Linked DNA regions of Canis lupus familiaris. The protein of the gene in region 6 binds, or shares a complex with, the protein of the main gene of each other region. Links are inferred from orthologs where the notes say so. Each region holds a gene or a part of one and is shown on either strand. Other genes may lie near its edges. The genes, in order: SMARCC2, ARID2, SMARCC1, SMARCA2, PBRM1, SMARCD2 and DPF3.

Evidence for each region.
Region 1: SMARCD2 (region 6) and SMARCC2 share a complex: the UniProt entries of both Homo sapiens proteins name them as parts of the BAF complex. The link is inferred for Canis lupus familiaris from reciprocal best matches to the Homo sapiens genes SMARCD2 and SMARCC2.
Region 2: SMARCD2 (region 6) and ARID2 share a complex: the UniProt entries of both Homo sapiens proteins name them as parts of the SWI/SNF-B (PBAF) chromatin remodeling complex. The link is inferred for Canis lupus familiaris from reciprocal best matches to the Homo sapiens genes SMARCD2 and ARID2.
Region 3: SMARCD2 (region 6) and SMARCC1 share a complex: the UniProt entries of both Homo sapiens proteins name them as parts of the BAF complex. The link is inferred for Canis lupus familiaris from reciprocal best matches to the Homo sapiens genes SMARCD2 and SMARCC1.
Region 4: SMARCD2 (region 6) and SMARCA2 share a complex: the UniProt entries of both Homo sapiens proteins name them as parts of the BAF complex. The link is inferred for Canis lupus familiaris from reciprocal best matches to the Homo sapiens genes SMARCD2 and SMARCA2.
Region 5: SMARCD2 (region 6) and PBRM1 share a complex: the UniProt entries of both Homo sapiens proteins name them as parts of the SWI/SNF-B (PBAF) chromatin remodeling complex. The link is inferred for Canis lupus familiaris from reciprocal best matches to the Homo sapiens genes SMARCD2 and PBRM1.
Region 7: SMARCD2 (region 6) and DPF3 share a complex: the UniProt entries of both Homo sapiens proteins name them as parts of the BAF complex. The link is inferred for Canis lupus familiaris from reciprocal best matches to the Homo sapiens genes SMARCD2 and DPF3.

What each region holds. Positions count from the first base shown.
Region 1 is NC_049231.1:850,229-853,728, reverse strand, and holds part of SMARCC2 (SWI/SNF complex subunit SMARCC2), read left to right. Parts: intron 1-42; coding exon 43-128; intron 129-587; coding exon 588-669; intron 670-770; coding exon 771-863; intron 864-2,059; coding exon 2,060-2,129; intron 2,130-2,364; coding exon 2,365-2,434; intron 2,435-3,368; coding exon 3,369-3,444; intron 3,445-3,500. UniProt on the Homo sapiens protein: Involved in transcriptional activation and repression of select genes by chromatin remodeling (alteration of DNA-nucleosome topology).
Region 2 is NC_049248.1:37,970,519-37,974,737, reverse strand, and holds the start of ARID2 (AT-rich interactive domain-containing protein 2), read right to left. Parts: upstream 2,801-4,219; 5' UTR 2,650-2,800; coding exon 2,558-2,649; intron 2,370-2,557; coding exon 2,276-2,369; intron 1,053-2,275; coding exon 955-1,052; intron 1-954. UniProt on the Homo sapiens protein: Involved in transcriptional activation and repression of select genes by chromatin remodeling (alteration of DNA-nucleosome topology). Required for the stability of the SWI/SNF chromatin remodeling complex SWI/SNF-B (PBAF).
Region 3 is NC_049241.1:41,736,012-41,739,511, reverse strand, and holds part of SMARCC1 (SWI/SNF complex subunit SMARCC1), read right to left. Parts: intron 355-3,500; coding exon 178-354; intron 1-177. UniProt on the Homo sapiens protein: Involved in transcriptional activation and repression of select genes by chromatin remodeling (alteration of DNA-nucleosome topology).
Region 4 is NC_049222.1:91,388,988-91,393,282, reverse strand, and holds the start of SMARCA2 (probable global transcription activator SNF2L2), read right to left. Parts: upstream 2,801-4,295; 5' UTR 2,640-2,800; intron 1,911-2,639; exon of another isoform or gene 1,775-1,910; intron 887-1,774; exon of another isoform or gene 754-886; intron 169-753; exon of another isoform or gene 148-168; intron 1-147. UniProt on the Homo sapiens protein: ATPase involved in transcriptional activation and repression of select genes by chromatin remodeling (alteration of DNA-nucleosome topology).
Region 5 is NC_049241.1:37,509,819-37,513,813, reverse strand, and holds the start of PBRM1 (protein polybromo-1), read right to left. Parts: upstream 2,801-3,995; 5' UTR 2,785-2,800; intron 2,616-2,784; exon of another isoform or gene 2,432-2,615; intron 2,248-2,431; exon of another isoform or gene 2,231-2,247; intron 412-2,230; exon of another isoform or gene 264-411; intron 4-263; 5' UTR 1-3. Other genes in the region: GNL3 (guanine nucleotide-binding protein-like 3), read left to right, coding at 3,157-3,169, 3,927-3,985. UniProt on the Homo sapiens protein: Involved in transcriptional activation and repression of select genes by chromatin remodeling (alteration of DNA-nucleosome topology). Required for the stability of the SWI/SNF chromatin remodeling complex SWI/SNF-B (PBAF).
Region 6 is NC_049230.1:15,127,825-15,132,009, forward strand, and holds the start of SMARCD2 (SWI/SNF-related matrix-associated actin-dependent regulator of chromatin subfamily D member 2), read left to right. Parts: upstream 1-1,385; coding exon 1,386-1,601; intron 1,602-4,058; exon of another isoform or gene 4,059-4,185. UniProt on the Homo sapiens protein: Involved in transcriptional activation and repression of select genes by chromatin remodeling (alteration of DNA-nucleosome topology).
Region 7 is NC_049229.1:46,575,316-46,579,588, forward strand, and holds the start of DPF3 (zinc finger protein DPF3), read right to left. Parts: upstream 2,801-4,273; 5' UTR 2,768-2,800; coding exon 2,736-2,767; intron 1-2,735. UniProt on the Homo sapiens protein: Belongs to the neuron-specific chromatin remodeling complex (nBAF complex).

The DNA.
Region 1 (3,500 bases), on a different chromosome or scaffold from region 6:
GATATAACTCTCACATACTACTTTCCTATCTCAATTTTGTAGATCAAATGTTTCCTAGATTTCAAAGCAGGAGGCTCCCTGTGCCACATACTTGCAGCTGCCTACAAATTCAAGAGTGACCAGGGATGGTGAGATGCCTACTTCTCTATGCTTCTTACATTAGAGGGGACTCCCCCTTTATGATTCCCTGGGTCTTTCTGGAGGTGGGAGAGCATAGGTAGACATCCTTGCAAGTCTCTTGCTTTGCTAGGTCAGTAACCTTGACTTGCTAGGTCAGAAGAGTGGCTGAGTGTCAGAGCCAAAATAGTTTCCAAGAGTGAGTGAGCATGTATGTATATGTGCATCAGTGTGTGTATTGTAGAGGAAAGGGGATTCTTAGGTTGGCATCTCAAGCTTTTCTTCGTCCTTTCAGACTAAGTACAAAGTGATTCATGGAGTTGAGATTAGTGAACCCAAGATCCCAGGCCATTTTGGCAACAGTTGCGGGCAAGACTGCTTCCTGATTTCCCATGTTAAAAAGTCACATACCCTAACCTCATCTTCAGACCTGATCTATACCACTCACTAGATTATTGCCTCTTCTCAAGGCGGCGTTACGATTTCCAGAATCCATCACGCATGGACCGCAACGTGGAAATGTTCATGACCATTGAGAAGTCCTTGGTGCAGGTAATAGTCAAGAACCTCTGCGGTCCGTCTCCTTTCCCTCAGTGAAAATCCAAAATATGCTTTCCCCATGATCCTATCCCATCTATTTCTTCTCCCCACAGAATAACTGCCTGTCTCGACCTAACATTTTTCTCTGCCCGGAAATTGAACCCAAACTGCTAGGGAAATTAAAGGACATTATCAAGAGACACCAGGTGAGTGGGTGTGTGAGAAGTTTTGGAAACTCCATGCTTCTTTTCCTGATGTTTTCTGTACAATAAGCAATCTTTAGATGACATGTTTTGTACTGCAGAGGCTGCTCTGCCTACTTGGAAAAAGATTAAAGCCTTGAGCCTCTCTTTCTCAGTTCACTTTTCCCATTTCCCGGTCTTGACAGGTTTGGATTACTATTCCTAGAGACTGCATTGGCCTGAGGGTGAGGAAAGCCAGAGATTTCCTGATTTCAGAGAAATGAAACCTTTACTCTAGAACTCTGTAATAACAAGCAGATGCCATTGCTAGGGACATATAGTCAGCTTTACATTTCCCATGTGCAGATTATCTTTTCAGAGGATTTTTAGAGCAACTTTTAGTTCTTTAATTTTTCTTCATTATTAGCAGTATCCCAGCTATTTCCCTCTGCCTCTCAGCTAGTATGTGCTTAAAAAATGCAAATTGGGGGATCCCTGGGTGGCGCAGCGGTTTGGTGCCTGCCTTTGGCCCAGGGCACGATCCTGGAGATCCGGGATCGAATCCCACATTGGGCTCCCGGTGCATGGAGCCTGCTTCTCCCTCTGCCTGTGTCTCTGTGCCTCTCTCTCTCTGTGACTATCATAAATAAATAAAAATAAAAAAAATAAAGATTTAAAAAAAAAAAAATGCAAATTGGGGGCAGCCCCGGTGGCGCAGCGGTTTAACGCCGCCTGCAGCCCGGGGTGTGATCCTGGAGACCCAGGATCGAGTCCCACATTGGGCTCCCTGCATGGAGCCTGCTTCTCCCTCTGCCTGTGTCTCTGCCTCTCTCTTCTCTCTCTATGAATAAATAAATAAATAAATCTTAAAAAAAAAAAATGCAAATTGGGATCCCTGGGTGGCGCAGCGGTTTGGCGCCTGCCTTTGGCCCAGGGCGCGATCCTGGAGACCCGGGATCGAATCCCACGTCGGGCTCCCAGTGCATGGAGCCTGCTTCTCCCTCTGCCTATGTCTCTGCCTCTCTCTCTCTCTCTCTGTGTGTGTGAGTATCATAAATAAATAAAATTAAAAAAAAAAGAATGCAAATTAACTTAAATACCATTCTGAGCAAAATATGATTAGGAAGGCCAGTCTGTGGCTAAATCTTATTTTGGCTTATTTACACCTGTGAGTAATTCAGAGGGAACTGTGTTTACCTGCTTTTCCTTGTGCCATCCAGGGAACAGTCACTGAGGATAAGAACAATGCCTCCCATGTTGTGTATCCTGTCCCAGGGAACCTGGAAGAAGGTAAGAGACCTGAGTTTTCCTGGCCTCTGCAGTGGATGGCTTGGACTAGGACCGGGGGACTATTCAGCCCCCGCACACTGCCTGGGCTTCTCCTCTCTCCTTTGAACCCTGAGCCCTCCCACTGCCATATGTTTCTATTTCCAGGTCCCTGGCTGCAACATGAGTTGTGAACAGTTAGTTACCTTTTGTGTATCCCTTTAGCTTATATCTCTCCTTGTTCTGTCTCTATCCCCAGAGGAATGGGTACGACCGGTCATGAAGCGGGATAAGCAGGTTCTTCTGCACTGGGGCTACTACCCTGACAGGTGAGGATAGGGTCCTGGGGCAGGTTTGAGTACAGAAACCAGACCGAGAAGCCCTAGAACGTCTAGCAAAGCAAGCAGGCACTCTTTGGGGGTTATTTTTAGGTCTGTTTTGTTGGGGGTTGTTTTGTTTTGTTTTGTTTTGTTTTGTTTTGTTTGTTCTCCTCCTCTCCATCATGAGAATCTGTCTTGGGAGAGGTTTAGACTTATAGATGAGGATTAAGCTAAAAGGATGGGGGCTTTATGTGTGAAATGATTATTCCAGTGTTATCTGCGATAAGTAAATGTTAGAAACAATCTAAATGTCTTTAACAGTGGGAAAATGTTTTAGCAATTTATGTATCTATTCAGTGGATTAGTATGGAGCCATACTAATAGAAATACATACAATAGAAATAACATGGAAAAAAAGAAATGACTGGATAATTTATAGAAAATGTTAAATGCAAGTTGTGAAATAACATAGTAACATTGGAATTATGTAAAAACAAAATTGTAGGGGCACCTGGGTGGCTCAGTGGTTGAGCATGTGCCTTTGGTTCAGGTCATGATCCCGGGGTCCCGGGATCGAGTGCCACATCGGGCTCCCTGCAAGGAGTCTGCTTCTGTCTCCGCCTCTCTCTCTCTGTCTCTCATTAATAAATTAAAAAATTGTACAGGAAAAATTTACTGGAAAAAATATATATACCAAATAGTTGTGTTGGGCTGATTCTTTTTTTTCTTTCTTTCTTTCTTTCTTTCTTTCTTTTTTTTTTTTTTGGAATTGTTTTTTATTCATAATGGAAAAAAACCCGATGTTAATAGGAAAAACAATCATACCAAAAAATAACCCAACAACCCAATGCTTTTTATAAATGGAAAAGGTAAAAGATTTGTACTTTACTATTCTACAATTCCATCCCATTGATCCCATTTCACGCTCAATTTCCCATGGCAGTTATGACACGTGGATCCCAGCCAGTGAAATTGAAGCATCTGTGGAAGATGCTCCAACTCCTGAGAAACCTAGGAAGGTGAGCATTTCTTGCCCCCTGACCCCAAAACGTATTCCAGGGGGTACCTGGCTGGC
Region 2 (4,219 bases), on a different chromosome or scaffold from region 6:
AATACGAAGAGCACCCTCTGAGTTTTAAATCACCACCACCACCTAAAGACCCTCTATGAGTAAGCAAGCATTAAAAATAAAAGATGACCTCATAATAGGTTACAATATGAAAATATTCTTAGCAGAAAAAGGAAAAAATAAAGCTTAATCAGAAAATACAATATCTAAAGCGTACCACACATCAACTAAGAAACTTACTTTGTCAAAGACTGTCAAAAAAGGAGGGAGAGAATGAAAGAAAATCCAAATCATAGTATTCCATTTCATAGTATCCTTAATCTTCCTACATATATAATAATCCTTCTGAACGTTTTTAAGTCACTCAAAAATCCCAAAGAACTTATTCTAAAAAGAATCCTGGTCACCTAAGGCACCAAACATGCTATGCTGTGTGTAAATATTCTACTGAAAAACTACTCTGTTACACGGTTCCATGCAAGAGGTATCATTTTTGTTTTGTTTGAGAATCTTAAAGTGAGGATTTTAAAAGGCAAAGGAGTTTCCGAAGCCAAGCAAAAATTTTCCCAGGGGATACAAAGTTTCATTAACTATCTTAACTCTTTTACTAAGCATCACCTCTCTGCCCCTCCGTGGATATCAACCAATCAATAACAATGTCACAAAAGAACGTTTACCAAGATGGGAGGTGGGGTGTCACCTGTAATGATCCCGTATGAAAAATGTAAACAGTCCTAAAATAGGCGAGGAAAACTTTCACCTTCCTATACAACCTCACTTTATGGATATTTGATGTTTGTCGGACTGAAAAGATGAAGACAAGTTTAGAAACTGGTGTGCAAGGTTTGTTTGGGGGGAGTGGGGGGCTTATCCCTACCACCACCACCAAAAAACAAACAAACAAACAACAACAACAACAACAACAAAAAAAACACCCACAAATCTCCCCTTGAGTCCCTCAGTTCCAAATACTGTGCAAGAGTCACTACTACTCACCGCAAGTAATACTGTTTTAAAGCAAAGGCAGCGTTAGAACAACTTCTGGGAAAGTTGAACTCTTCAACAATTTCTCCCCACTGATTCTTCTCAGAAACCTGTTAAAAACACAGCCACACTTGTCTGAGAGTGCACCGTCCAGGGAGACTGCAGCCTAACCGTGAAATAAATACCCATTCTACAGAGATCTGAGGATACACCACCTCGGGCATCAGTGGGTGTTTGGGATCGATCCGTGAGGAGAACTAAGCAAGGGAGTGTGTGTGTGGGGGGGGGGGGGGCTCGAATCACTGTGTTTTCACCCGAGAGCCCTGTATTTAATAGCACTTGTTTTGTTTGGGGGGGGGGGGGGCGGCGGCGGCGGGGGGCCCGGGAGGGGGTGTGTGGGGGAGACTGGTGGGTTTGTTTTGTTTTTGAAGCCCGGACAATAACCAATCGCAAGTCCCTCTGTCGCCCCCTTTTAAATCTCAACGCGGTCCGTTTACACTAAAAAAAAAAAAAAAAAAAAGTTCAAAAGGATCAATACTGTTCCGGACAGCGACGTCGGCGGGTTCCGGGGGGGGGGCCGGGCCCGGGGCCGCTCCCGATCCCTCTCCCACATCTCTCCATCTCCATAGGCCCTTCTTTGAGGCCTACAGCTTCTGCCTAGCCTTGAAGCCTAAGATGGCTATTTGGAGACAGGTCCTGGTTTCTTTTGTTAGCCGTATAAACCGAGGGCGACGGGGCCGAGGCTGTGCCCCCGGCCGCCGGGATCATTTGGCGGCCGATTATCGATGTGAAACCTGCCCGCGCTAATTTTGAGTTGCACGAAAACTGCTCTCAGAGTCTGTGTGTCTCTGTGTCTCCGCCTGTGCTAGAGCGGCAGCCGCGGCGGAGCCGACTCGCGAGCGAGCGGGCGGGCGGGCGCGCGGGCGGGCGGGCGGGCGGGCGGGCGCGGGGCGGCGGGGCTCGGCCGGGCGGCGGGGCTCGGGCGGGCGCCCCCTGCACGCCCGCGCTCCCCGCCGCGGCGCTCGGACCCCGCCGGGCCGGCCGGCCGGGCGGGCGGGCGGGCGGGCGGCGGGCAGGGCGCGAGCCGGCGCCGGGCCGCCCGCCCGCCCGAGCCCCGCCGCCCCGCCGCGCGCACGCGAGCCACCAGGCCAAAAAAACAGCCCCGCCGCCCGGCCGCCTCCGTGCCACCGGCTGCGAGCGCCGAGAACGCCTTTTGCCCCCGCGGGCCACCGGGCCCCCCCCGCCCCGGGCCCCGAGCGCCCACTCCGGGGTCAAAGGAGACTTTTCGGAGCAGGCCAGCGAGAGGGAAATACGAATTAAAACTTCCACTCACCTTCGCGAATCCGCCTAAAGTAGTGACTCTGGTGTAGAGACCGTGAAGATCCAGCTCCTTCCCACCCACCGCAGGGATTTTTTTAAAAGGCGACCTGCGGGAGAGGAGACGAGAGAGAGAGAGAGAGAGAGAGAGGAGAGGAGAGCGAGAGGAGAGCGAGAGAGAGCGAGAGAGAGAGAGAAAGCCCCGCACTTGTCAGCCGGGACCCCGCGCCCGGCCCGGGCGGGAGAGCCCCGTTCGCCCCGGCTCGCCCCGGCGCTGCCCCCCCGGCTCTGCGCTCACCCTCTGCTGTGGTGGAACTGCCGCAGCTCGTCCAGGAAAGCGAGTCCCTTTCTCCGCTCGTCCGGAGGCGCCTTCCCCGTCGAGTTTGCCATTATTTTTGCAAAGGAGGTTTCAAAAAAAACCCGGATCGGCGTCTTAAAAGCGGCCCCCGCTCCCCGCGCGTCCTACCAGAGCCCGGAGCCCATTCCTCGGCCGGCGGCGGCGGCGGGGCTCAGTCATGGGCCGGCGGTGGCGGCGGCGGCGGCGGCGGCGGCGGCGGCGGCGGCGGCGGCGGCGCAGGGAGGGAGGGAGGGAGGGGGAGGAGGAGGAGGAGGAGGGGAAGGAGGGAGCCGGAGGCCGGGGGGAGAGGAGGGAAGGAGGGAGGGGAATTTCTAAAAAAGTTTAAAGAAATCGGAGCGAAACTAGAGGGGCAGGCGACTGCCGGATCGGCGCGAAGCCGCGGGGCGAGCGCGGCCCCCACCCCTTCCTTCCCTCCCTCCCTCCCTCCCTCCCCGCGGCCCGGCTCTCGCCCGCCTCTCAGCGCCGCCGGCCCAGGCGGCTCGGCCTGCGGACGCGATTCAACATGGGGCTGCTGCCGGGGGCGCGCGGGCGGGCGAGGGGCCGGGCGAGCCGACGGTGAGCGGCCGGAGGCCCGGAGTTTCGGCGGCGGCGGCGGCGGCGGCGGCGGGGCTGGGGCAGGCGGGGCTGGGGGTGGGGAGGGGGAGGTCTGTGTGGTGGTTTGTGGAGAGAGGGGTGACAGCGTGTATTCCGGCCGCGGCTCCGCGGGGCCCTCGCACACATTCACGCGCGGCCTGGGCCGCGGCGGCCGGGGCGTCCCCGGGCAGAAAGCACCGGCGGCGGCCGAGCCGCTGCGCGCCGCCCGCCCGCTTCCTTCCCCGCCAGCCTCGCTCTCTGCCGCCGCCGCCAGCGCCGCCGCCGCCGCCGCCGCCGCCGCCGCCACGGCCGGGCAGCCAGCGCCGCACAGCGACCCCCGAGGGCCGGCCGCGGCACTGCGCCCGGCTCCACACCGCCCCGGCAGCTCCTCGCGGGGAACAATAGACTCGGCTCGCCGGGCTTAGGGTTCATCTGCAATGTGCCGCACATTTCACACGCACACAAAGCCGGCGGAAAGGGGGGCGGCGCGGGGAAACGGCCACTACCGGTTGTTCCAGGGTTAGGGGTGGAGGCGATGTTCGCGTCCCCGGCCCGGCTGTTGCCAGGGCCGCCCCGGGGTCCCCGCCGGCCCCGCAGCACCCAGCACCGGCCTGGCGCTCGGCGGGCAAGGGAAGCTCCGAGGGGCAGCTCCTGCCGCTACGCATCCTTCACGGATCCGAATAAAGTCCTTTTTTTTTTTTTTTTTTTTTTGAGGGTCTAAGGGAATCGGCGTTTCCGAGCCTTGTGCTAGTATTTTGGGGCCTGATTAGCACATTTTCCATGAATTATCCACAAACTAACTTGAGCGAACTGGAAATCAAATACGATGGGAACTGTGTGTGTGTGTGTGTGTGTGTGTGTGTGTGTGTGTGTCCTAGTTCTCCTGGAAATACACGGATGCCCACGTCGTCTTGCCTCTCTGGTCGCTTTCACCTATCAAACTAGATTATTTTATGCTGAGTTATGCAAAAACAGTAATTAAACCGGCTCGGGAGCCAACCTTCTGAACTTGGACGATAATTAACGTTT
Region 3 (3,500 bases), on a different chromosome or scaffold from region 6:
CTCTTCAGGGGTGCTGCAGAGCCCTAATCACAAACCGATCTTCTAGAACCTACTGTCACAGGCTGCACTGTCCATGGACCTGCCAAACTATAAATCTAGAGAACAAAGCCCCATCTCTTGTCTCCAGCCCACCCAGAGAGATACAAGGATAATGTTTCCCCCCACCATGCTACTTACACATGCCATTAGGTGCCGTGAGTGGTACCCGGGGTCCTAAGATGTTTCCTGGCATTGGAGGCATACCAGGAGCGGCTGGGCCACTCCCAGGGGGGTGGATGTTGGCTGCAACAGTGGGAATCATGCGGCCTGGAATGGGTTGCCCAGGGATCATGGAACCTGGACCTGGCATCTGACCTGTGGAAGGAGATTTAAAGTATTATGGTAAGTGTACTAGGAAGAAAGAGATCAATTCAATGCTCAAGACTGCTAAATACAAATACCTAACCCTCTGAAGGATTTGAAATACCAACAGAGCCATAATCTGTAATAATCTCTATGTCCAGATTTTCATTTTTTTTTTGGAGGAAGAAGGATAATGGGGCAGTCTATGGAGTCAAAGAATACCCTAAACCCTGGTATAGGCAGGTAGCTGTAAGAAGCAACTACAAGAGCACCCTAAAAGAAAACATTTGTTTTGGTTACTTTGGGTGGATAGTGGATTGTTATACATCTTCCTGAGGACACAAAATGCCAAGCACTGACCACAGGGGATGGAGAGGATCTTTACAGCAAGTTAGTGTGCACTCTGATGATAGCAGCTAAGTTAAGTCTGAGCTTCACACGGGGGTGGGTGGGTGGGGGTGTAGTAGGCAAGAAAGGGTATTGGTCACAACTGTGAAATCAACATTATAAAGGAATCCTAATCGGATTTCCAAGTCCTGTTGAAATAAAAGTCTCTCCTAACCCCCACCATGAAGCACTGGCCCTGGAGAAGCACAGAGATGGTGGCTGGTGGGGGGTAGGGGGCAGAGCAAGAAAAATGGACAACCCCTTCATCTCTTCCTGTTGGTTTGAGATTAATGAGAGGAGAGACTAGACACAAGAACAGTAAAATACCTCCCGACTACAGTTTCACACTGAGCCTTTAGGATTTTTAGCAAACTTTCTCTGTAGAGCCAGACAGTAAATATTTGGACCTTGCAGAACATATGGTCTCTGTCACAGCTATTCAACTTTGTCACTGTAGCATGAAGGCAGTCACAGATGACATACAGGTGTCACAGATAACAAATATGTGAGACTGTGTCCCAATAAATCTTAATTTTTATTTATATAAGATTGATTATTTATTTATTTATAAAGATGATAGACAGATAAATAGATAGATTTATCCATTTATGAGAGACACAGGCATGGGGAGAAGCAGGATCCATGCAGGGAGCCTGATGTGGGACTTGATCCTGGATCCTGGGATCATGCCCTAAGCCGAAGGCAGACGCCCAACCACTGAGCCACCCAGGTGTCCTGAGATTTTATTTATTTATTTATTCATGAAATACACAGAGAGAGAGGCAGAGACACAGGCAAAGGGAGAAGCAGGCTCCTTGAGGGAAGCCATATGTGGGACTTGATCCCAGAACTCTGAGACCATGCCCTGAGCTGAAGGCAGATGCTCAACCACTGAGCCATCCAGGCATCCCCCAATAAATCTTTATTTATGGACTCTATAAATGTGAATTTTGCATAATCCTCATGAGATATAAGCATTCTTCTTTTGAGTTTCCCCCAACCATTTAAATTGTAAAAACCATTCTTAGCCTACAGTCCATACAAAAACAGGAGATGGGCCAAAGTTGGCCCACAGGTTGTAGTTTGCCAATCCTACTTCAGATATGAATATTTCTTAGTTCTTAAAACTCAGTGGTTTGGCTGCTGGGCTTGGTTTTCAAGAACTACATCCAAAGGAGAATATTTTAATGGGTACAGATCTAGGCTGAAACGTATGCATGTGCTTCCTTTTTCTCTCTCTCTTCTCCACCCTCAGCAAATTATACTCTCTACAGAATAAGGAAAGAATCTATGGTGTTTCGTTATTATTTTTTTAATCTAGGGATTTCAGTATCTCTGTAAAGGTCAGTTGTATGAAACTAAATATGTTTCTAGACATAGTTCTGAGACAGCTGGAAGAAAGAATGCTTTAGGTCCAATCTTGGAAAATTTGGGAGATGGGACTGATAGTTACCAGTCAATTACAACATATAAAGAAGTACTGGAGACAACTTAAGGGGAATTCTCTGTCATTGTTAGAAAAAGGCCTGTCTTAAGGGAGACACATAAAGTTTCAAGCCTCACACCATCTATTGCCCGTGTCTGTTTCCTGACCCAGGCCCTTCACTACTGGGGGGTTTTAGTGAAAAAGAACTCCACAAGTTCAAAAGTTTGGGGAAGAGGTGGTCTACTGCCTTTCAGGGGCAATTTTTATAAAGCAAAATATATCAACATTTTACCTCAGAATAAATAGGACAGCAAGTCTGGGGACCTCAGGCCCACCTTTCTGTGCTCTATAATGCAATCATGGGAGAACCCAGCAGAGGAGTCCCCAAGATCCATCCACTAGAGGACAGCTTGGTCAAACTGCTTCAGAGAATGCAAGAGCAAGTACTGGACTCACTGCTGGGCTAACACAGCCACCCACTCTTACACCAACTGACCACCAAAGCCAGAAGCTGTTGGGTGCCTGTGCCACAGTGCTAGGACACATACAGGCAGTAGTGAAGTCTATCAACCTAGGGAATGACAAGGGGATTAAAGGAACAACTATCTATCAAGTATGTTATACATCATTCCTCCCACAGATGTACAGCATGGCAGGCACATCAAGGGAAAACCACAGGAGGAGCAAGCCAAAAACCTGAAACCTTCCAGTCAATTGAGATAAGCTTGTAGACGACTTAGGATTTTAGATGATGTGCATCAGAGTGAAGAAGGGGGTTAGAGACACGACAGCAGCAGACTATCCTAAGCACAAGGCCCCACCTGAGTTAAGAAATCAGAAAATAATACAAGTGTCACTCCCGTTATTCCTCAGAGCTACCACTTCTTGTGGCATCTTCATACTCACCACTCTCAGAGGTAGGTACCTGCATCACCTGGTTATCTGTCACCTGCATTTCCTGAGGAGCAAGAAGCTCAAAAAGGTTCAAAAAAGCATGCTCAAGTAAAAGCCACATAATCCACAGTGTGCCTACAGCAGTAGGGCTGGATGAGCCCGACACGCAGAATGAGGTTGGGGGCTTGGTGAAAGGTTCTAGAGAAGGAAGGAATGTGGGACTGATGGCCTGTGTGATGGAGAGCTTGAAAAAGAGATGCAGAGGAGCTGGAGCCTAGAGCAGAGGCAGAGAGCTTCTGAAGAGAAGCAGGGGCTACATGAGGGCAGCCTGAGTAGACAGAAGTGGGAGCTGACGGGTGAGGGGCAGCACCCCACAGGCAGCCTAAGAATGGGTGAGAGAGCAAGGCAGAGAACAACTATGCAGCAGGAAGGAGAAAGAATATGACACGCA
Region 4 (4,295 bases), on a different chromosome or scaffold from region 6:
CCACGCGATCGATCGCAGGGCGAGGAGCCCGCTGCCCCCGCCGGCCTGACTTTGCAGGAAAGGCGAGCCGGGAGCCCGGCGGGGGCCGGCAGGGAGAGCGCTGGCAAGCTCCGCGCTCGGCGGGCGGCGCCGGCGCAGGCTCCTTACCTGGGGGACGCGGAACAAAAAGAGGCGCGGGGCTCGCTGAGCCTGCGGCGGCCGCACGGCCCGAGGGGGCTCCCGGCCCGAGCCCTAGGCCCGCGCCCGAGCCCGCGGCCCGGCCCCCGCCGCCGCCGCCGCCGCCGCCGCCGCCGCCGCCGCTTCCTCCCTCGCGCGCGTCATGTCACGGCGATCAAACATGTCTGTGTGCGCTTCGCCGCTGTGACTTCCTGATTCTCTGCCGCTCGCGCGCGCACACTCACACTCACACTCGCAGGCACACGCGCACGCCACCCCCGCCCGCCCCCGCCGCCGAACCTCGCCTGGCGCTCCCCGGGCTCCCCGCGGCCGCCCGCGCCCCTACCCGCGACGGGGGCACCGGCCCGGCCCCGCGCGCAGCACACACGCACACTCACGCGCAGACACACTCGGCCGGCCCCGAGGGCGCGGAGGCGCGAGCCGCGGGAGCTCGCCGCCCCCTCCCACCCCCTCCCTACTTAGCCGCCCTGCCAAACTTTTTTTTTTTTTTTTTTTTTCCTGCCTGATCCACGTCCAACTTCCCTCCCTCCCCACCCCAGCCCCCACCCCCAGCAGGCCGGCCTGCCCTGCGCTCACCAGGATCCGCCGCAAAGCTGCAACCCGGATAAAAATAATAATGCAATCCAGGCGGCGGAGGCAGGGGCGCGCGCGAAGACGCTGGCAGGAGGCGATTTCCCCGCGTGTACCGGAAACCGGCCGGGCGCCGGGGCCAGGGCACGGGTGTCCCCGGGAGCCCGCACTGCTGCGCCCCGCCCCGCGCGCTGCAACTGCGCCCAGGCTGCGAGGCCTGGTGCGGGGCACCCGGAGCACCGGGCTCGGGGTGCGCCCGCAGCCGGAGGGCGCCTGGGGACGGGCACGCCGGACCGGTTATTTGGGGAAGTGCATCGCGACACCTTTGCAGATGGCATGGCCCTGTTTTGCAACGCAAACGGGAGGAGGGAAGACGGCCGGATGGAGGGGGAGAGCAGAGGAAGGGGTAAATCAGGTTGGGATGGGAATAAAGCAAACTCGAAAGCAGGGAGCGAGAAGGAAGGGGTGCGTGTCATCGTGGGGAGGAGGCTCCCACCCGGTCTCCCCGCCTCCCGCCCTCCCCACCCCCGCCCTCCTCCTCCCCCCACCCCCCACCCCCCACCCCCTCGCAGCCCTTCCCCTTCTCCGGCGAACGCCACCACTGCTGGCCGGGTGCGCGCGGGTCCTGTTTGTGACAGTCAGGCAGAGAGGATTATCCGGATCATGGCCTCCCGGCCCGCGGCCGCCGTGGCTCTCCCGGGCCCCGGCGAGCCCCTAGCACCCCGACGATCGCGGGCGACCCACGCCCGAGGTTCCCGCGGCTCAGGCTGGGGGGAAAGACGCCGAGCCAACGAAAACAAACCCGGGGAAGGGGGAGGGCAGCGCAACCGAGCCCGGCGGGCACCTCCGACCTCCTTCCCTGGGGCCTCCTCCCTCCCCGCCGGCGGCGCGGCCCGGGCCGGACACCCCGAACTTCAACAGCCGAGCCCGCGCGGCCGCCAGGTACCAGGTACCAGAGGCGGGCACGTCCGCAGAGCCCCGGGCGCAGCGCCCCGGGAACCCCTCTGCCTAAAAAGGGCCTGCCTACCGGTCAGCGTCCTCCTCCCCGCCCGAGGGAACGCGCAAAGTGGAGGTGACACCTCCGATCCTGCACGCACCGGCCCCGCGGCGGTGGCTGCCGCCTCCCGGGCGCGCCAGCCTCGGCTCCTCCCGCCGCGATCGGCTCGCGTCTCGGCAACCGGAGCCCTTTAAACAAGTCCCCGGGAGGCGGGTGGCAGCCGCGATCGTTGGCGCCCCGCCGCCAGCCCGGGCTCCTCGCCCTCCTCTCCCGCGCCCCTTCCAACTCTTCCGGGGAGGACGGCTCGGGGTGAACTGTCGCCTTTCCATCCTCCTCCCGGGTCCTCCAGCCGGCGCCCTACCCCAGCCTCGAGGGGATGGGGGGGGGGGGATTGCAACCTTGCGGAGTGTGTGTGTGTGTGTGTGTGTGTGTGTGTGTGTTGCAACCTTGAGTTGGCAGCGAGCGCATCGCTGACTGCCTACCTGGGGTCAAGGCTGTGCTGTGTCGGGATCCCCCCCACCCGCCCCTCGCCTCCCCGAAGTAGTAATTATTACTGTTATTATTAGAACAGCAAGGTTCGGTTGAAACTTTCCCGTTTCTTCCACGGCCGCCCGGGAGCTGTCGTTAGAGCATTCCACCTGAGGCCCGCGGGGAGGAGGCGGGCTTTTTTGTTGTGGTGGTGGTGGTGGCGGTGGCGGCGGTTGGCCCGCCTGTTTGTTTTGGTCTCCGTGCATGCACAATAAATAATAATTAGGATAATAATGAAGACTCCCCGGCGAAGGCGGCGCGGTGCCGGAGGGGTTTGCGCGGCGGCTGCAGCCCCGGAGGCCGGAGGGAGGGAGGGATGGGCGGGGGGGGGGGGGGAGAGGAGAAAGGAGTTGTAAGTTATATTTACCTTGCTCGCGAGGAGTATGCTGGCTGAATCTCTTCCCTCTCTGAGTCACCCAGAGTACAGAAACAGAGGGAGAGAGGACTAGATTATGAATATGACTTCATTGATGACAGCCATCCCCTCCTCTTCCTAAAGTCGGGCTCCGCCCCGCGTCCCACCCTCGCCGCCTCCACGGGCGCCGGAAGACGCGCCGCAGTTGGCCCCGCGCGCCGCTCCTCCCTGCCCGCCCGGGCGCGGGTTGGCGGGACGCGCCTGTCACTCGGCCCGCTCAGCGACTCCGGGAGCTCGGGGCGGGGGGGGCGGAGGAGGGGGCGGTGTGCAAGAATGTGCACCGAGACGGCTCTACTGTATGCGTGGATCCGTGTGTGTGTGTGTGTGTGTGTGTGTGTGTGTGTGTGTGTCTGCGCGGCGCCGGCTCCCGGGCCGTGCTGGTGCCTGGAGCGGAGAAACTGCGCAGGACGCAGAGCTCGCCGCGAGCCCCGCAGGACTTGGGCGTCCGACATCCCTCTCCCGGCGGTCGACCTCGGGGCGGGAGGGGGGAGCTTTGGAAGGGACGTCGCCGGGCGCCCCCCACCCCCGCCCCGCCACCCCGACGCGCGGTGGGGGGTGGGGAGGGCGGCCGTAGTAATAGCGCGTAGTAGTTTGGGGGTAGGTGGAGAAGGTGCTGGAATTTAACTGTGCCTCCGCCTGCCGGAGCGCGCCTGCAGAGGGAAGAGGGGAGGGGACCGGGGGAGGGCTCCGAGTGGCACCGGAGCTGTTAGTGCACTGCACAGTGTGGACCGTGAAAGAAAAAGAAGAAGAAGAGAAAAAAAAAAAAAAAAAAAAAGCAGGCATTGTCGTGCCGGCTGAAACTTTTTCTACGCCACCCCCCTCCCCGTTACCTCCCCCCCCCACCCAAGGTTGTAATTATAAATCTGTCCCCTTTCTCCCCCGTAAAAAAGGGAGGCGGGCACAAAGAACATTCCTGCCAAATCTGTCTCTTTTCTAAAGGACGGCAAGCTTCCAAATGCCAACGAGGGAAAAACAGCTGAGAGGCTGAATGCCTTGTAAATAAATAAGCCCACCCTAACCCCTCTGTTTACTTTGCGGACCAGATGCGGCACGTGAAGCTTCCCTCACCTGTCATCTTCGAATAAAATGCATACAAGGAAGACATAGATAGGGAAAAACAACCCCGTGGGGGCGGGGCGAGCGGGTGAGGGGACAGCTGAAGCGTGGAATCTGCTTTTGATTTAAGAAAGGGACTAAATCTCTTATCCTGGGCAGCCCACAGTCTGTCCTCTCCCACCTCACGTTGCAGACCGATTAAGGCTACAAACAGTAAACTGCTGGCACTTGGCAGTTTGGAGACCTCTTGTTCCAATTCTCCTTGAAATACAGTTCTTTGGCTGGCGGAATAGGTCAGTGTTTGCTGAGACGAATTTTATTTTTAGTTTTATGAAGTGTGAAAGAATGTTAGGAGATTTTAAATCAGGGGCCTATTATTTCAGACTCAGATTAATGTAAGTGCTTGACTCTTAAAATTAAAACTGTTCCTATATGGTAGTGTTATGAAAAGAATGATGTATCCTTTATTTTGTAATGTAATGGCTTCAATTAGTCATTCAAAGTGCACCGTGACTCTCTAGTGGAGGATTTTCCCCCTAGAGTAAAATCCTA
Region 5 (3,995 bases), on a different chromosome or scaffold from region 6:
AAACTGAAAGAGAAGAACAGGCAGAGAAAGGGGAAATAAAAAAGAAAGGTCAGAAGGAGTAAAAATGACTACGAATAGATAGAAAACATTCAAGTAGAACTGCTAAAGAAAGATAAGAGAACTGGAGAAAATAGCCATATCAGTTCTCTCGTGCCACACTGCTGCAAAGGCTCAGGCACTAACAGTACCCGACATTTCTTTTAATTTTAAAACAAATGCTTTTCATATGCTTAAAGATGTCTCACTGAGATTCCTTTACTCACATGGAATGACTGTCAATTCCAGGAATGAAGCATGCCTGCCCAAATGCCCCCTAGTCAATAAGAGCAGAGTTCAATCACAGAGCTGGAATGGAGAGTGAACACATGTGGAAGGCTCACATGTGACACCAAATGTTGGCAAGCTGGAACAAACCAAGAATGGTTCATGTGAACAGTCTGGAAACCTCCTCCCCCCTACAAAAAATTCAGAGAAAGACATTTCTTTCCAAAAGTCCTACCAGCATTAGAAAGACAACACTCACAGGTTTAGAAAGATTAAAAACAAAGCCTTTGATCATTTTGGCAGGTGATCAAAATTACTACCTTCATAAATAACCCACTGAAAAGCATATGACAACAAATTGTAAATTGTTGGTGCGTGTGTATTCTAGTTTAGACCATAATATACAAAACTCCTTAAATCATTAACTTTCTGTGATAAAGCAAGAAAAAGAGGCAACTTAAGGGTAATTTTCAATTATTTTCTTATCCAAAGGACACATTTTTAAATGTATTTTGGAAGTTTGGCAATAAAGTCAGTATTGCCAGGTAGGTGGGAGAGGCAACAGGACTTAAGCTCAGAAGACCGGATTCTGAGTCCCAAGTACTCCGCTTCGAGTTATCTGTTTCATGTTGCTTGAGTCACAACCTCTCAGAGCTGTTTCTCCACTTCTAAAATGAGAAGTCAGGTGTGCATATATCTGCCTTAGAGCACTGGGACTGTGATACGTACACGAAATCACTTTGAAACTTCAAAGCACAACAGAGAACTTTCAACTCTAGGATTAAATGCTCCTTGGGACCAGTTAATAACATTTTATTCATTTTTGTAGCTCTGGCTTATAGAATAGTATCTGGTATAGTATGAACAATCAATTTATCTTTTTAAATAAAGGTATTAAAAGTGGGACATTAAAAAAAGCTTGTGTGGTTTAAAAGGACTGTGGGCAATCCTTCAGCAATTTTCTCCCCATGAAGAGGAAATACATTCTGGAGCCCAAATATAAATTTTAAAATGGCACTGATTACAGCTACATGTGCAAAAGTCTGACAACCAGTAACTTGCATTGGACGCTAAGGAATAACCTTAAAATGTGCAACTGGGAAAATACTCATTTTAGCCACACGGTATATTTTGATAGTACTAAAAGTTCTCTCCTGTATTTCTGATACTCAATACTATAATACATGCACAGAACAAGAACCTTGGAAAACAGAATTCAAAGGGGGGAAAAAACCCCACATAATTCTAGAAAAAAAAAAAACAAAACACCCTTAACATTGGCATTCACGGCTTTCTGTATTTTTTCTATGCCTTAGTTGCCTTTTTTTTTTTTTAAACCGCAGTGTTAAACCATATATATTGTTTTGCAACTTGTTTTAAACTCTGGGTTCTTCCAAAAGTGAACACTCTTCCACAGGATGTTTGATGGCTTGTTAACAGCCCATCGTATAGACATACCACAATTTACTGAGCTTGGAGTTTGGGGTAAAATATCAAAATCTGAGGTATTTTGTACACCCAAAGCCAAAGAAGGCAATCAACGCCCTTCCATTTATCCACACGCACATTTGTTACTGTTTGAAATTGGAACTGCTTCTTCAAAAACACTTTCCTTCCTTTGAATCTTAAAATACAAGCAATCTGTTAACAAGGAATAAAGCAAAACCATACTACTCTTAATGGAAAAACATCACCTCAAAAACCATTTTTGAGGAGCCCTAAATTTTTTAAAATATAAATTAATAAGAATGTCTTATATTCCAACATATGCTTCTATAACCACAATGGTAATTTCTATACCTGCTATACTGTGCTATTTCCCACTTGTTTTTTTTTTTTTTCAGTATTTCTTCCACATTTTACCAATCTTTATTTAAATCGCCAATATCTTCCCTATCACAATAAAACTACGCTTTCGGTAGAAAATTTTAAGAGGTGGAAAATTATTAAAAACCAGGAAACGTACAATTTTAAAACCTCGATTTTCCGTGCTGCTGCAGAGAAGACACTTCAGTATCTAGCCTCTAGTATAAATACAAGTCTCACTCAAATACACACTCAGTCTGAACACAGTCATCTAGAGAAGGTAAAAAAAAAAAAAAAATTTTTTTCACACTAGTTGAGTTTGCGTCAAGAAACAACAACAACAAAAAAAGGAGGCCCTGACCTGTGAAGAAATGAAAGACTTTCCGGACCTGTCACTGGTACCGGGACTAGGGAAACGTTGACAGCTTTGAGGCTGTCGGCGACGAGGGCTCTGCCGGCCGCCGGGGCGGGAAAGAGCGAGCGGGAGCTTCCGGGCCGCGGCGCGCCTTTGTCCGGCCGGCAGGGCAGGTGCGGCGAGGCTGCCTGGCCGTCCCGACGCCCGCCGCCGCGCCCCGCCCCGCGCGCCCAGCCCGACCGGCGCGTCCCCACGCCGGGGCGGGGCCTCCGCCGCTGCTCCCGCCCGCCCGGGCCCACACAAAGGCCCGGCAGCCGGCCGAGAGGGAGCGGCCCCGCCCGCCCCGGGCCCGGCCTTACCCAGCCGCTCCGCCGCCTGCAGCCCCGGCCGCGGTCGCCGACCGCCGCGCCCCGCCCCGTGGCCGCCACGGCTGCTGCTATTGCTCCTCCGGCTGCGGCCGCCGCCGTCGCTCCAGCACCCGCCGCCCTCACCGCCCTCACCCCTCCCGGTGCCGCCGCAAAACCAGCCCTGCGGCCGCCAAGCGAACCCGGCTCCGCACGACACTGCGTGCGCGCGCGCGCGAGCGGGCGGCGGCGCGCTTTACGGCGGTAGCGTCGGTGCGTGACGCTCGGGCTTGGCTGCCTGCGAGTCACACGTGGCCGGGGCGGAGGCGCGTTGTTGCTGCTGCTGCCGCCGGTTACGCCGCTGCGACCGCCGTTCCCGCTCCCAGTATGAAGCGACCGAGTGAGTACGGCCGGGGAGCGGGTGTAGAGGGGCCTGCCTCTGACGGTCGGCGAACCGTCGGGGCGGTCTTCTGAGGGAGCGGGGGAGCCTGCGGGCAGGCCGCGGCGCGGGTCGGGAGGAGAAGCGAGTGGGGGAAGGCCGTCGTTAGCCGCCGGCCTGTTGTGCGAAAGGAAGACAGCAGTGAAGGTCGCTGGGGCGCCTGGGTGGCTCAGTGGGTCAGGTGTCTGCCTTCGGCGTAGGTCACGGCCCCGGCTTCCCGGGATCGAGCGTGGGCGCCCTGCGGAGCGGGGAGCCTGCCCCTCCCCCTGCTCGTGTTCTCTCTCTGTCAGATATGTTTTAAGAAATTAAAATCACGCCAGATGGTCCTGAGTAAACCGTGTCCGTCCGAGCCAAGGTTGCGGGCCCAGCCTCTTCCCTACTCGGCCATGTTGAGAGGTCTGAGGCGGGCCGCTGAAATCCGCTGCTCGGTCCTAACTTGTGATTTGCGGCCTATGACGAGAAGGGGCTGCCATCTGGGGGTCTCCTGCTCTGCTGTGCGGTTTCAGTCTGTTACGGAAAGAGCGAGAGCAGGGAAGTTGGGCTCTGCTCCAGATTCTTTGAGATTTTAGAATGGCCTGTGTTTGTAATCCACCACATGTGAGTTTTAGGTTTGAGCGTTAATTGCTAAGCAGGGAAAGGGACGTGACCCCTGAGCCCGGTCACTAAAAACTAAACGGATCCTTTGTGTCTAATCCTCTCGTGCTGGGTTTCTTTGTAGAGTTAAAGAAAGCAAGTAAACGCATGACCTGCCATAAAAGGTATAAAATCCAAAAAAAGGTAAGTGTTC
Region 6 (4,185 bases):
TACTGAATCATAATCTGCATTTTAAACCAAAGCCCCAGATGTTTCTTTCTTTTTTTTTTTTTTTTTTTTAAGATTTTATTTATTCATGAGAGAGAGAAAGAGACAGAGACACAGGCAGAGGGAGAAGCAGGCTCCATGCAGGGAGCCCGAATGGGACTCGATCCCAGAACTCCAGGATCATGCCCTGGGCTGAAGGCAGCGCTAAACCACTGAGCCACCCGGGCTGCCCAAAAGCCCCAGATGTTTCTTGTGCTTATTAAAGTTTAAGAAGCACTGGCCTGTATCAGGGGGAGGAAACCCCAGATGACCAGCATGTAGGCTAACACAGCTGAAGGGCTTTATTTTGAATACCTTATGACACAGGATAGTGGTTTCTGAAAAGGTATTGAATTTTTTTTCCAATTAAGTACTATAAATCCTGGAGAAAGACCTTATTTAACTGCAGGGAGTTTTCTCACAAGGCAAAATTCCTCCCCCTAGAAACATTTCCTGTGGAGTAAAGTACTAGGCTTCCTTAAAGTGAGGCAGAGCCACGTTAAAAATATGCGATAAGAGCTCGGCGCAGGGCCAAGTCAGCCCGTCACACAGCTGGACTGGGTCTGGGGCAGCTGACGTCCCTTGGCAGCTCTGAGCCAGCAGGATGGGCTATTAAACAAAGTGAAGCTGGTGGCTCTTCTGCCTCAGGAAACAGCTCTAAGCTGAATTTTTACTGCCTAAAACATAGAAAAGCGACTTAAGTCAACTATTTTCAGGGAGTGTAACTGGGAACCTCGGGGGGCGGGCTCCACGGGGCAGAGATCAGCAACTCCCCACGCATTCTCTGTTGAAGCCCTTAGGTGACCTTCAACCTCTGACCCCGCGCCTTGCACAGCGCTTCCTGCGCAGCTTTCCGCCTCCGCCCCTCCGGTCAAGGGCGGGCCTGAGGCGTGGGGGCGTGGCTGGGGGGGGCGGCTGGCGGTTAGGGGCGGTGCTTGCTGGGGGCGGGTCTCGCGAGGGGCGGGATTTGAGCGGCACCGTGGCATTGGACTGCAGGTTCTAGGCGGGGCCTAGCGCCGGGCTTGTTTGGGCGGGGCTGGGAGTTAGTTGCCGCCTCCGGGTAACTGGACTCCGGCGGCCAAACCTCCGGAGGCCGCGAGCGTCAGGCGGGCGTGCAGCAGATCCCGGATCCGGAATTGCCCGGGCAGGACCGGAATCAGGATCGGCCCTGCCCCAAACCGGGTCTGCGAGGAGGAACTTGAGAACTTGGATTGGGAAATCCCGGAACCCGGATCAACAAGCCCCAGAACCCGGAATTTAGATCGGGAAGTCCCGGAGCACGGATCGCGGAGCGGACTCGACACGGAGCCCGGAGCCCGGATCGCGACACCGCCGGACGGGACGGAGCGATGTCGGGCCGTGGCGCGGGCGGGTTCCCGCTGCCTCCGCTGAGTCCTGGTGGCGGCGCCGTTGCCGCGGCCCTGGGAGCGCCGCCTCCGCCCGCGGGACCCGGCATGCTGCCGGGACCGGCGCTCAGGGGGCCAGGGCCGGCTGGCGGCGTGGGGGGCCCCGGGGCCGCCGCCTTCCGCCCCATGGGCCCCGCGGGCCCCGCGGCGCAGTACCAGGTGAGCAGCGCGGCCGGGCGGGCGGGTGGCGCCGCGAGGTCGCCCGGGGCGATGGGGCGATGGGGGCTGGAGTCGGGGCCGCGGGGCAGCCCCCGGGCGGGGCACGGGGGCCCGGCGTGCGGAGTGCGCGGGACGGGGTGCAGGGCAAGGCCGGGCGGCGGGGCAGCTCGGGGAGAGGGTCAGAGCGAGCCTGGGCTGGAGGGTTGGGGGCGGTTGGGAGGGTCTGGAGGTTTTCTTGGAACGGGGATTCTGAGTGAGAGGTGGAGGAACCGGAGCCCGGGAGCTGTGGGCGAGCGGACCGAGAAGTCTAGTGTAGGTCCTAGGGAAGGGGGCTCGGGGAAGTGCTGGGAAAGTTTTGCAAAAGGGCCCTCACGGAGAAACCAGGGTTACCCTGCCTTGGCCTTGGTCCCACTCCAAGTCTGCGCTGGGCTTTTTTTTTTTTTTTTTTTTCTTCTAGTTGGGAACTGGCAGAGTTCTAGCGTGTCTGAGATGGCTCCCAGCTGCTGATGGGGAGGAAGAAGGGCCTGGCTCCCCGCGGCCCGGGAGGTGGAGAACGGAGCAAGGGGACCCCAGCCTGTGCCGGGCAGGGTCTGCTCCAGGTCAGGCCCAGGAGCCCTCCCGTGGGGTGGCTCCGGGTTCGACCAGAGCTGGTGGTGGCCAGGCCTGAGGCAGGCGGAAAGCCCAGCCCGTTCTGGGCCGACTCTCCTTTTGGCTTTCTGCCTGGTGTCCTAGTGTCCAGGAGTTGGTTAGTGTGCAGGAGCAGAGAGGCTCCACTGAGCCCTGCTGGTCTGGGGCTGGAGGAGCCTGTCTGTGAGAGTTGCTTCAAAGAGTTCTGTCCTGACCCCTTTGGAGTTTGGCTTCCAAGAGAGCGCGTCTCAGGTTGCAGCTTCAAAGGCCGAGGAGAGGTAGAGACTCCATCCTTAGGGCCTGACCCTGCTGGTGGGGCTCATCAGTACCCCCCTCTCCAGTCCATTGTTTCTGGTTGCCCCAGAATGCTTGGGAATTGTGCCCATCCTTTTTTGCACTCTCTCTGCACTCTTATTTAGCCTTTAGGTTCTAGCAATGTCATATCCCAACCAACCCGTGTGCCCCAGCGTTTGGCACTGGCTTCTTTGCTAATCTCCCAAGGAAGCTGGGGTTGACTCTCTGGTCTCCAGGTAGAGGCTCCACAAATGGATCCTCATAGGATAGGATATGCTTATCTCCCTCGCCGCCCCCCTCAGAGCCCTGGGCCCTTACTTTCTAAAGAGACGCCTAACTGGGGACCCTGATTTTTCCCACTTACTCTTCATCCCCCCTCCTCTCTGTAAAGAAAACAAAATATCTGGGTACTGACAGAGATAATGCCAGTGACTCCCATCTTTCCCATCTTGCTTTCCCACTTGGGGATTCATGGGTCCAAGCTGATGCTGAGGGGTCTCGACATGAGTCATTACAGCCCCTGGGCCGGCTAGCTGAGCACAGGCCTTGGAGTCTCTCTGGGCCTTTGGTCTAAGAAGAGATAGGAGCCTCTCCAGTTGCCTTTGTTCAAAAGCTGTGAGCAGTGTGGCCTGGGGAAAGCCCTTGGATAATGGGTTCCACAGCCCTATGTAGGGAGTGGCCTTGGGCCAGTGGCAAGGTCCAGCTGACTGGCTGGGGAGCCCCAGGCTGCTAGGGTTGGGGACCAAAGGGTAGGCACTGAGCTTCTGCTTCTGCAAGCTTCCTGTCCCACCAGCTTTTCATAACCTCTTCCTCCTCCTCCAGGAAGGGACAGTAGAGGATCCAAGGGGAGAGGGAAGACCCAGTTCACCCTGGCTAAGTTCGAGTAAGATTCTGCTTGGCCTCTTTCTAAGTCCAGTTGTGTGACTTCCAGGAGATGGGACTTCAGAGGAGCAAAGGGGGTCCTGTCTGTTAGGGTACATGAAGTGAGCTAGAAGAGCAAGGCTTTCCAGGCCAAGTGGGGTAAGTTAGGGAACCTATGGAAAGAGGGGAAGTGATGACCCACCTCCCTCCACACAGTGGATCTAGCTGTGGATCATACTCGACAGAAGAGCTTAAGGAAAACAAGAAATGGGGCAGTTTGGGTGGCTCAGTGGTTTAGTGCCGCCTTCAGCCCAGTGCCTGATCCTGGGGACCCAAGATCGAGTCCCATGTCGGGCTCCCGGCAAGGAGCCTGCTTCTCCCTCTGCCTGTGTCTCTGCCTCTCATGAATAAATAAATAAAATCTTAAAAAAAAAAAAAAAAAAAAAAAGAAAGACAAAACAAAACCCAAAGAAACCCAGATTGTTGGGTTCACTCCAGAGTTCAAAATATTTTCTGCTTATGGAGGGGTATGTTCCCTTCTCTTAGGCCTGGGCCACCAGGGGCGCCAGGGCCACAGGCTTTGAGGCAGGGTGCTGCGTGCTCTCTGGAGGTGCAGCATTAGGCCCAGCCACGTGCCCTGCTGTCCTGGGCAGTGGAGGTAGAGTCACACTTAGGACATGGGCTGCTGCCGGGCAAGGGAGAGGACATTGTCACACACTTCCTAGCTTGAGCTTTACTGCAGGCAGGGACTTACAGAGCCTTGAGTGGCCTGACTGGGATTTGTTTTGGGGTGTTTTGTTTT
Region 7 (4,273 bases), on a different chromosome or scaffold from region 6:
TAGCTCTCCAAACCATTCTCGCGGCTCCCCTCCTCCCTACACCACCATCCATCCCTTTAGCTGGATGTGTCTCTGCGCTTTGTTCTAATTTATCCCATGCATAATTTATTTACGTGTGTATTGTTTCCTGATCAGCAACTTTTAAAAACAAATGAAATGTAGAAGATGTCTTGCTAAATAAGTTGTTTTCAAAAAATAAAGGCAGATGGTGTGGGTCTCCCAATAACAACGTGTGTGCTCCTGCATTAGGAGTTTAAAAGCCGTCCGGAGCGCAGGAGGTTCGGCTCGTCCGGGAGAGGGGGTGGGTATTGTTTACACCCCCTTTCCTCCAGGGAAAGGGTTTGGGATGCAAAAAGGAGGAGCTAATTAAAAAATGACCACTCAACTCCCGTCTAGAAAAGGCAGGCAGGGATGTTGTGTGTATGCTAGCGCGTGCGCGCGCGCGCGTGTGTATGTGTGTGTGTGTGTGTGTGTGTGTGTGTGTGTGTGTCGACACAGAATTACAAAACATGTCATTGCAACTGTCTCTAATTATTACAAAGTATAAGTTTAATAATTCAGGACTAATTCCACTAAACCAGCCCCCTTCTCTGTTCCCTCCTCCACCTCTAACCCCACCCCACTCAGACACCCTCGCCAAACACGCACCCTTCCGCAGTTCAAAAACAAACAAACAAACAAAAAACCGGAGCCGGCAGGGAAACAAACCCTGGAGCGTTTAGAGATATTGCGCCTGCCGGCGCGTGAGCGGGCTCCAAGGTAACGCTGGTACCGCTTTCCCAGTAGGAAACAAATCTGGCGCACATGTGAAATAGATTTCTCTAACTTGAGTTTACCAGGTGGCATCAGCCTGCCTATGTGATTTCGGCTGGAAATGGGGAAACTGCAAATCAGCTGGAGGTTCGGCTGAAACTCACAGCATCAGCGGTGTGGCTGCGCGAGCGACCGGGGAGCGAGGATGCGGCGAAGTTACGCCCATTTATTCTGCTGTAAAACATTTTCTTTCTTGGCTGAAACGTTGTGGCGTTCCAGTGCAGTGTATCCGAGCTTGCGAGCGAGAACTAAAGCCGGGGGCTGTTCTGTGATCGGCGTCAGCTTCCAGCTTCCTCTTAATCGCAGCTTTAATCGCAGCTTTAATACATGTATATTAAAAAAAAAAAAAAAAACTCCGAACCGGGGACCTTACTACCTTTTCCCCTATTAATGATGGGAGATAAGCTGGTGCAAACACGTCCGATTACCCTCGCGCGTTCCTTTGCGCTAGGAAACACCCCCACACCCCCCGCAGCCTCCCTCCCTCCCCCGGTGCGAACGTGGTTTTCAACTCCAGGAGGAGCCTGGGGTGCCAGCGCGGTGCGCTGAGTTGAAATAACCCGCACGGGCATCGGCCACACAGCCAGGAGAATTTTGCACGAAACGCCCCCCACCTGCATCTCCCCCTCCCCTCGCCCGCGGCTCCCACCCCGGCTGGGAAGTCCTGGTCCCAGAGGCGCGGACCCCGAGCCACGCCGCGCGGCGACCGGGAGTCCCGACCCACGTCGCGCGGCGATGGGGGAGCGAGCTCTCCTCTGCCAATATCATTGCCAATAGCACCCCTTGTAGGGCGACGCTAGTTTTCCGAAGCCTCCAGCGGCTCCGCGATCGCGATCGGACTTGGCGGCTTAACATTTCCATCGACTGGAAGGAAGGAAGGAAGGAAGCCAGGACGAAAAGGAGCAGGAAGGCAGGCAGGCAGGAATTGGCAGTCGGACCCGGGGACTGGTCCCCGCATGTCCTCGCCCAGCCCGCCCCCCTGCGTCCGGGATCTGGGCGTCCGCTCAAAGTCTCCCGGCGGCGGCCAGAGGCACCTGCCCCTCGCTCTGGCCGGGAGCAGAAGCTGCCTCTCCGCCCGCCTCGGTTTTTCACCCAGAGGAGGCAAGAACACCATTCATAAGACCTGCAGCCTCCCTGCCTCCCAATCAACCCCAAGTTAACCCGAGTCGTTAATACACTACACCCAGTTCGCCCGCGAACACACGCAGACACACCGGCGACCGCCCGGAGCGCGGTCACGCTCGGGGGGCTGCCCCGGCAGGAAAGCCCCCGGGCAATCACCTGGGCCCCAGGGCTCCCGGGACCCACTGCTCCCCCTGCGGTCCTCCCAACTCCGGAAGGTTTGCACAAACTCCCCGCGAGCGATCGGAAGGCGTAAAGCGCCCTGCAAACTCCGGAGCTGCCACGGTCCGCTCGCCCCGGCGGACCCAGCAGCCGGGCAGGGGCTGCGGACTCCGGAGGCGCGGGGCGCAGCCAAGTGCACCCAGGCGGCCCCTGCCCGGCGCTCGCCCCCAGCTCGGCCGCCCCCCGCGCCGCGCTCGCCATCCCGCGACGCCGGGCACTCGGGGGACCGTGCAGTCCCCGAGCTGCCCACGACCGCCCGCCTCCCCCCCCCCCCCCCCCCCGTAGAGCGCTCGAGCGCCTGGCTCCCCTGCCGAAAACCCCTCTCCGTGCGTCTTCCAATTAAGCAGAACACAAACGTAACAATTTTCTTCTTGTTAATTGCATCTCTTGACATTTCTGCGCGTTGGGGGTAAAAAAAAAAAGAAGATGAAGAAGTAAGAGCTGAAAGAAAAGAGAAGCCCCGCCGCGGCTGCAGGCGCCTGCAAGCGCAGTGCATTGGCAGCGCTTGGCACGCGGAAGGCGCCTTTTTTTTCATATTGAAACCAGGCGGAATATGTACATTTTTTAGTCTTACTTACGCTTTCAGGGGGTTGTGAATGACAGTCGCCATTTTGCTACAATGTAACAGAATATTGTCTGTCTCAGAGTTCTAAAGGTTCGCTCAGGGGAAGCGGCGAGCCAATCAGAGCACGGGATACCGGCCCGCTGGCCAATGGGCGCTGCTGGTCGCCAGATGGGCGGGGCCTGCACGGTGGTAGTTATTAGGGGAGCTGTCAAAGCCCAGAGGTCACTCCCTTTTGTAGAGCCCGAGAGCAAGCAGGTCTTAAAGGGGCAGTACCGCGAGAGCAGCTCCTTTTCGGATTTGGGAAAGTGGAGACGCACGGGGAAAGTATTCTAGTTTGGTTTGAGTCCCTACTTTCTAAATAATTGCAGAGAGTTTGCGCTCCTGGACAGAAATATTTAAGTATTGCCAACAAACCACTGAACCCCATTCATTAGCTTTTGGCTTTGCTGTTACGTTTTTAATCCCCCAAAGGGCAAATCCCCTCGTTCCCGTGCAAAAGTTGGAAGGCTGCCGTTTCGTCTAACAAATTACTACACGTGCCCAGCAGTTTGCTAATGCTCTAGGTCCAAGGCTTTTTAACATTCTCATTCCTGTAGTGTTTTCTTTATCTCGGCCACCTTCTCTCTCTCTCTCTCTCTCTCTCTCTCTCTCTCTCTCTCTCTCTCGGTTTCTTGGAACTGCTGCCGCCGTTCCCGGCGACTCCAGGACAGCAACTCCCCTCCCCCTGGAATGTCTCAATGTCAGGCTCGCTCCCTCCGGCAGCCAGGGCTTTCGTTACGTAATGCGCGGTGGTCGCTGTGCGCGGTTCCCCACTCCGACCTCTTCCAATCTACACACACACCAGAAACTTCTGAAATGGTCAGATTCCGGCCGGCCGGGGAGCCAAGTGGGACCTGGCGCTCTGACCTTTAGGCTTGGGGACAGAGGAGGTTTAAGGAAACTTTTTGGAAACGCTTTCTGCTACTAGGAAAGAGAGTAACTAGACAGAAGGTGTTGCCAGAGTCTCTTTCGGGGAGTAGCACACGCGATTCTGGCGTCACCTTTCACTACTTAGGTACACGGTGGAAAAATTTGCCACTGAATAATCCGGTAGGACCCGAGGCGTTCAGAGTCTGTGTCTGCTCCAAGTCAGCGTGAACTCCTCACTGGCGAACCCCCGACGAAATTGGGAGACTTCGGTGAAGCCAGGCTTCCACGGGGCAGCGGGGAATCTCCCGGTGGATGAAATCGCACTAAATCATGAATAGGGGCCTCGTTAGCATACAGAAATCTGGCTAACATCCCAAAGTTGTTTAATCAGGTCAAATAGCTAAAATAGCGGAGGAGGGGTGGAAAGGGGGAGAGAAGATGCCAAATTGCCACCAGTTCTTCAGAGCTCTGCACTCTCACTTCCTTTCTCAGGGCTCCTCTCAAGGCAATGAATTAAAATTAACAATAATAATAATAACAATAATGTTCCAGAACTTTCAGAGCGCAATTCCATACACTATTAGAGTTACAGAAAAACAGAATAAGACTGAATGGGTATGTTTGTTTATAAGACTTGAAATC